2 linked regions of the Bombyx mori genome follow. The protein of the gene in region 2 interacts with the protein of the main gene of each other region in a pairwise test. Links are inferred from orthologs where the notes say so. Each region holds a gene or a part of one and is shown on either strand. Other genes may lie near its edges.

Region 1 (3,828 bases), on a different chromosome or scaffold from region 2:
GAAATTAAACATTGAAATTGACATACGACTCTTACAGAACGGATAACGGCACAGATGACGCTGTGCCTCTAACTCGCAGCAGTCCTCCGGCGACTGCACTGCGTCCGGCACCAGCGTTCGAGATGCCACGGACTCCTGAACAAAAAGAAGCGATAAGAAGGAAATGGCAGGCTATATTAGGTAAACTAGCTGACCCGGCAGACTTCGTAGTGCCTCAATCTATAAATAAAAGACCTAAACTTTTGTATAAAATAAACTTAAAACAAACAAAAGGAATTCGTCCGACGGGGGACACATCAAAGGGAAAACAAAATTGTTATTTTTATTTAATTCCGAGAATTTTCATATTTATCTACCTTTTAAACCTTCTCTGGACTTCCACAAATAATTCAAGACCAAAATTAGCTAAATCGGTCCAGCCGTTCTCGAGTTTTAGCGAGACTAACGAACAGCAGTTCATTTTTATATATATAGATTTTTAATACAAACCATCGTCTCTACTAGCGCTATCCTAAATAGTCTTTATAAACTTTAATCAATTTGTGGAAAACATTCTCGTTTTTTTTGTAAGTCATAGTACTAAGAAAACACTGGAGGATGAGCGTGTTTCAAAATGTCACCACTGGGAAACATGGCGCACGTGATGTATGAGGTTCCAGATATTAAGATTAAACACCACTTTGCTTAAAGTTGAGTGTAGACAACAATTTAAGTTAGTATAAATACATATTTGGATGTTTTCTCTTGACCACATCAAGAGTGGTACATAATGTACTTGCTTTTGCCCGCGACTTCGTCCGCGTGGAATAGTTACTTTGGCATAACGCTAAATTTTACCCGCGACTTCATTTACGTAGAAAGTGTAAATATTTTAGAATAATAGAATGTTAAGGAGTATTTTAAGTACCAAAATCATGCATTTTAAGCGATTTCAAAAGAGGAGGCTATCAATTCGACCACCATTTTTTATTTGTGTATGTTCACCGATTTCTCGAGAATGCTTGAACCGATTCTGATAATTCTCACTGAAACAATATTTCAAAATTTTTATTTTCAAATTTTCAAATCGGAACAAACAAACAAACTCTCCAGCTTTATAATGTTAGTAATGTATATGTTTGACGGTTGCAGGCGAGGACGTGGAGATAGTGGTGGGCGTGGTGGTGCGCGGTGGGGGTGGTCTGGGCATTTCGCTAGAAGGCACCGTGGACGTGGAGGGGGGGCGCGAGGTGAGGCCGCATCACTACGTGCGCTCCGTGCTGCCCGAGGGGCCCGTGGGCCGCGCCGCCGTGCATCGCCCCGGCGACGAGCTGCTCGGTACTCGCACTATACTGTCTCATACGTCTGTTCCTCAACTGTCTGTCCAGTTTATGGCGCAATAAAAGGGGTTGGGAATAACGATATGCAGGTCTGAGATGCTTAAACATTCGAAGCAACCATCATCAGCACAAACAATTATCTTGCTCGAAGACTCCGCGCCGGTGGGTACCACCACCCTGCCTATTTCTGCCGTGAAACAGTAATGCGTTTTGGTTTGGAGGGTGGGTCAGCCGTTGTAACTATACTTGAGACCTTAGAACTTATATATTGAGGTGGGTGGCGCATTTACGTCGTAAATGTCTATGGGCTCCAGTACTTAACTTAACACCAGGTGGGCTGTGAGCTCGTCCATCCATATAGCAATAAAATAAAATAAAAAAGATTCCACATTCCAAATGTTATCAGAGTATTCAGTGTCGAATTACTAGTTCCTACGACCATTTTTCCGATTTATTAAACATTTTGCGAATCGCCCCAAGCAGCCCCTTAACACGCGACGTAAGTTAGAAATGTTGAAAACGTGATTCGTGCCCGGCTCCTCCAAAAATAATGAAAATGAGAAAATTGCCGTTGTTTACATGCGCTTATTATTAAATAAACAAATTACAGAAGTGAACGGTCATCGGCTCCTGGGCATGAACCACTTAGAAGTGGTGTCAATTCTGAAGGAATTATCGAGTGAAGTCTGCATGGTGTGTGCGAGACCTCGACCTGCGCCCCCTCTCGACCTAGCGCCGCCTGCCACAACATTAGTGAAGGTTAAATTTGTTTTATAACTATTATATACTTACCAGAAGAAAAAAAAACATTTGTATTAGATGAATCCAAAACTATTTTATTTTATTAGTGAATAAACAAACTCAAATTACACTTGGTGTCAAATGCTGGCACATAGCTACCCCCTCTGTCAAACTAGGTCAGAGTCTCAATTGATTTAATTGATTTGTATAACGATTGTTCTACGTTCCAAACTGGAAGGTATGATAGCTTCGTGCCACAACAAGATAGAATTGTTGAACCTGTCCGTACGGGCTCACATATGTTACAATGGCGATTATTTGATTAGTACAGTATTACACTCGGATTAATTATTCGTATGATCATTCCTAAAATAGAATGTTAATGCTTAGAGAAAAAAATTAGGACACCGCTCAACTGATTTGATTTGATTTCATTTATTTTGACCTGGATTTTAGGAATTAACAGAGCCTACAGCTAATACTTCCGAAGTCGACATTTTAGCAAGCAAAATTAGGTAGAAGTTTCAATTGCGCTAGAATATTGGTTAACCTATTTTTTTAACTAAAAAATTCGATTGCGTCAATAGTAATAGGCATTGATAAAGTAATATAATTATTATAATTAATATAATAAATAGGCTTGATTAATTAATATGATGTTATCTCTATTACGCGGAGGCTGTACACGTTATCGCAGACACCTACATAAATTAAGGAGTCAGTCTGTCTGTCAATCAGAAAGAAATGTAGTTGTTCTAAGATCCAGATTGACAATTGTATGTTTAAGTAACCGCGTTTGTTGTTCATTGACATAAGGTACCTTTTATTTAAAATGGCATTCATTCTTCAATGCGTTCATTGTTGTTGTGTATTTGCATAAGACAAAAACAAAAGTTTTAAAAAAACAAAATGAACAGGTCTGATGTCTTTTTTCAGTGACCAAAATCGGTATCCATGATGTTTGGGGTTGTTAGTAAAGTGCCCATTAACTCTTACAAGGTGCCGAGAACGGTAAAATATGTTTGTTTGCATGAATGATTCATATTTAATTTGTGTAATCGAGATTCTAGTAAGAAGTTCCCTATAAAGTAATAAGTAAAAGGCATTTCCGACATTATGATATCGAAACAATACTTGTGTCTTGTTAAAATAAAAATCCTTATCCTAATCTATGTATTGTAAGAACAGATGTAATTTCCATAGATATAAAGCTGAAATTTACAAAATGCACGTTCTTCAGAATCGGCGGTAGGCTGTTAATTTCTCGTTGCATTCATTGTAGATTTGTATCTTTGACGTAGCCTTGGTAACGTATCTGTATCTTTTTTGATAGAGTAGTTATTTGATTCTGTGTTTAAAAGATAAAATATATTTCTTCTTCAAAAATCTCTGTTACACCGTAAGGCGCACCTAATCTCGACTATTCAGTGGCATTTATTTTAATGTAGAAATTAATCATTTTTATTAATACTTTAGGCGAAATCGGACGGTAGCCTGGCGGGTGCGGGTGCTGAGGAAGGCGGGTCGCTGTCCGCCGCTGGGAAAGTTCGTTCCCGGAGTCTCGAACCACTAACCGGACTTGCTATGTGGTCTTCTGAACCCCAGATAATAGGTACCAAACATTTTTTGTCTTAACAAATGTAAATTAAGACCAGTTTAAAGTGTTATATAGTTTTATCAATGTCCCTGTGGCAAAAGTTTCCAATGAACTTTTTATTAAAAGTTTAATTAACAATTATAACGAATTAAAACTATCCCAGTTTAAGGT
Region 2 (3,828 bases):
TTAACCAATTTCTAGAAAGTTGCATGTAGATCATTTTTCGAAAAATAAGGCCATAAACAAGTTTCACTTCTTACGTGTGTACACTAGTACACGCACACATTTTTTTTTTAAATGACATTTTTTTACAAATACTCCATAGACTGACATAGAGTATATACAAGACTACAAAGATTATACAATTTTGACTGCGCTTTTCTAAGCTTGACCTCTAACAGTCTGTGTGTTCACCGACTTTAGTCATGCTGTTAGCTTGAAAATTTGGATACACATCAAGGGCTGATGACGACACAAATTGTTTTATAGCTTTGCCTAATATATGAGTACAAACACATGTATTTTTTTTTAGTTTTTAAGTAATATTTCCTCGTTATTATTGACTACTAGTTATCTAGTGCTATCACATTTGTCTTACCGAACACCGTTCACTATTAATTCATTATTGATCTATTTATATTAGAGCTTACTAGGTGAGTTCATGAGCCTCGAGTGCCTGCACCAGTAGTCCAGCCGCTGCGAGCAGGATACAGATCTGTTGAGCAGGGCCTCGAGCTGCGCCCGGTTGGCGTCGTAGATGACGTCCTGCCGGAAGCTGCCCGCCTCCTGGTAGCCGTCCACCACCGTGCTCTGCGACACCGAGTGCTTCACCGACGTTATCACGCGGCCGTCCGCTGCAAGCGACGGTGCGGTTACTGCGGGCGGGGGCGGGGGCGGGGGCGAGGGGTTGGGGGGCGAGGGCGCGTACTCACAGTAGAACTCGCAGGTGACGGGGAAGGGCGGCAGCGGGCCGGAGCCGTCCACGTCGATGTGCACGCTGGCGGAGCGCCGGGCCGCCGACACACTGTGGTACGCCTGGCACGACAACGGGTGCACCGCTGCGGACATTCTCATTTACATCGAAGAACTACTGTTACTCCTCGTTAACCAAACCTGTTGTCCTTACATGTCCTCATTAAAAATTTATTCTCTTTTTTCCCTACCTATGCTGATAGCCTTGAGAGGCTATTTCAGCTTCGCCCTAACGTGTGTAGGTGAGCTCACGGGGCTCAAACCGGAGTGTTGCTAACACTGATCCTAGCAAGAGCAGTGCTTCGCAGAATCTGCCACCGGATCGAAAACGCGACCCACTGAGAAGATCCGGCGAGAAACTCAGAGGGCTGTGTCTATCAGTTAACTCGCTCGTCGAGTCCTTCGTCGCAAGCGACGGGTTCGACGAGGACGGTGACCGGTGCTTGTGGTGCCTAAAAGCACCATTAATGGATCAGGGGGATCCGTAACGATGTGCTTTCGACGTCGACTGTTTACCATTCGGTCTACAGGATCGGGTATGTAGTTTCCAGAGGCCACGACTAGGGGATTCTCATGTCGTGCCGCCTTCTCGAAATGAGTTATTCTCAGGATAATACCTTTACTTTAAATATCGTCGAAGCGTCAGTACTCACACGTGTGGCACACGGCGCCGGCGTAGCCCGTGTCGCGGCAGTTGCAGGAGAACTCGTCAGCGGTCTGCGCGCAGCGGCCGCCGTGCTCGCAGGGGTTGGGGCTGCACCTGCGGGCCGGCCGAGGGTAAGGGTGAGGGTGAGGGTGAGGGTGAGGCTCCGTCAGCACAGTGCGGCGCGACCTCAACTACTCACCTGTCGATCATCTGGCAGGCGTCGAACACGAGCTCGTTGGGGCAGCAGTAGTCCTCCTTCTTCCAGTCCGTCGGCAGGCGGTAGTTGCCGTCCACGGAAATCTTGCGCATGCAACCGATGAAGCCGCGCGGTGGGGCTTTGCCTCCTGAAGAAACGATACTATGTTAATGTTTGCCAGTCTGCTGGTTGCTGTGTAGTATACAACTTATAACTACAAACCCAACTGTCGGCGACGATACCCAAACGAGGAGGGCACGCGGAAGCGGAGTGCGGGGTGACAAAACGTGAAGGCAGAGAGACGCGACAGAGACACGTGCACAACACCAACAACATAAGCGATAAGCCGCAGACTTATTGTGAATCGAATAATATAAAATTGTAAAAAGCAGTACTTAATAAAAGTATAAAAATATAATTTTGTCATTTTGTTGAATTCCTGGACACAGCTATCCGAACGATACAAGCATGACGTGACCATGGCCACCCACGAGGAACGCTTCGACTGCACATTAAATCTGACACTCACCAGCAATAAAATAATAGCTGCCGGTAAGAAATCGCAGTCTCTTTGACGTGTGTACGGCTCTGGAGTCCATGGACAGCACCAGCGAGTCCGGGGCCAGGGTCAGCATCAGCGAGTGCCAGCGACCGTCGTTCCACAGCTCCACGTAGTTGTCCAGCTTCACGCGAGGAGATCCGGCCGTCTCCAACTCGACTTTCACTTTACCATCTTCAAGATATACCTGATGGACAAATAACTAAATATTAACAAACCCGGCTACAAGCTGTAACGTGAATATAAAATAGTATTTCATCTTGTCTCCGCGTCCGCATCTCAGTTGTTTTACACCATTGTCATGTAGTCAGGTTCGTACGATGGTAATATGTACGTAAATGTATAATATATACAATGGCATCGCTTTCGAGAGACCGAGACAAAACTACACTCGTGTTTTTTCTCTTTCTTTAATTTTTTTCATTCTGATCGCGTCACCGACACGCACCGGTAACATTAACTAGTAAAATTCTAAACATATTTCTGTCCTATAAGCAGGTACCTTAACATATCCCTCGGTGTTGAACCGGTGGTACACCAGCAGCCCCTGCAGCTCGTAGGTCCTGAACTCCAGCGACACGTTGAGCGCGCTGCCGCCGGAGTACCCGCGCAGCTTGGCGTACGAGCCTTCCTTCAGGAACGTCACCGGCACCACAGGGGGCTCCTACACAGACACAGCGGAGTAACGAAAACGGGCATAGAGAAAACTAGAAGATTAAATTATCTGTGCTTTATAATTAAATAATTTTTTTGGGACTTTTTGGCGGGAACGCGAGGACGGAAGTTGCGTGATTTGTTTTATTATGTTTATTTAGTGTTTCTTCAGGTTTAAATGTGTAATAACGGTAGTTTATTAACTGTTTAGTATCTGTGAAAGTGCACAAATGTGGGAAAATGAAACAAGGCCGCTGGACGTAGCTTCTCGGGATCCTCCAAAAAGTCCACTAAAATGACCACAATTTTACTGAGATTATATTTCATCCCATATCATCTCATCGCATCTCATTTGATTTCATCCCAATTGATTAATATCTCAAATTAATCATTTTCATTTCATTTCATCATTTTTCATAAAAATAACAATATAAATTAAAATAAGACATGCCATAAAGGTCTTAGTTACCAGGTCGTAAAATCCCTTAAAAATATATATATATATATATTTATTTATTTTTTAATGACGTTAGAACACTGCGGTCGCTGCTACTCACCGGACACGCGTACAGGGTGTTCAGTTTCTGGAACTTAAATGGTTCGCCACTCTCATAGCCCTTTTTCAAATCTTGTATAACGTTGGTCGCGTTGAGGTACATGTTCTCTATGCAGCCTGTGAAATTCTGGTTCACGACTAGACCCTCTTGTAAATTCGGCACGCCCCCTATGTACAACTGTAACAAGGTAATACTAAATTAATTAATTTGTAATATTTTAAAACTGACACTGTAGTCATTTCTTCATTTACAGTGCTCTAACAGTTTAGACATAATTTGTATAATGCTGTAGACTAGCAGACAATATTATGGTTTCACCTAGTATTGAATACTCTCAATTATAATGTACTCAATATTAGTATACATGAAACACACACGTACCCAATTGTTTCTGGATAATGGGATAGTTTCTAAGCATGCCTTAAAGATT

What was found.
Region 1: the proteins of neurexin-4 (region 2) and patj homolog interact in a two-hybrid assay, tested with the Drosophila melanogaster proteins (2 studies listed by BioGRID). The link is inferred for Bombyx mori from reciprocal best matches to the Drosophila melanogaster genes Nrx-IV and Patj.

The regions. Positions count from the first base shown.
Region 1 is NC_085111.1:10,386,553-10,390,380, forward strand, and holds part of patj homolog, read left to right. Parts: intron 1-37; coding exon 38-180; intron 181-1,131; coding exon 1,132-1,317; intron 1,318-1,929; coding exon 1,930-2,078; intron 2,079-3,536; coding exon 3,537-3,672; intron 3,673-3,828. UniProt on the Drosophila melanogaster protein: Involved in cell polarity establishment. Probably participates in the assembly, positioning and maintenance of adherens junctions via its interaction with the SAC complex.
Region 2 is NC_085115.1:15,840,660-15,844,487, reverse strand, and holds part of neurexin-4, read right to left. Parts: intron 3,576-3,828; coding exon 3,399-3,575; intron 2,852-3,398; coding exon 2,690-2,851; intron 2,375-2,689; coding exon 2,158-2,374; intron 1,777-2,157; coding exon 1,632-1,776; intron 1,547-1,631; coding exon 1,440-1,546; intron 873-1,439; coding exon 747-872; intron 669-746; coding exon 465-668; intron 1-464. UniProt on the Drosophila melanogaster protein: Seems to play a role in the formation and function of septate junctions.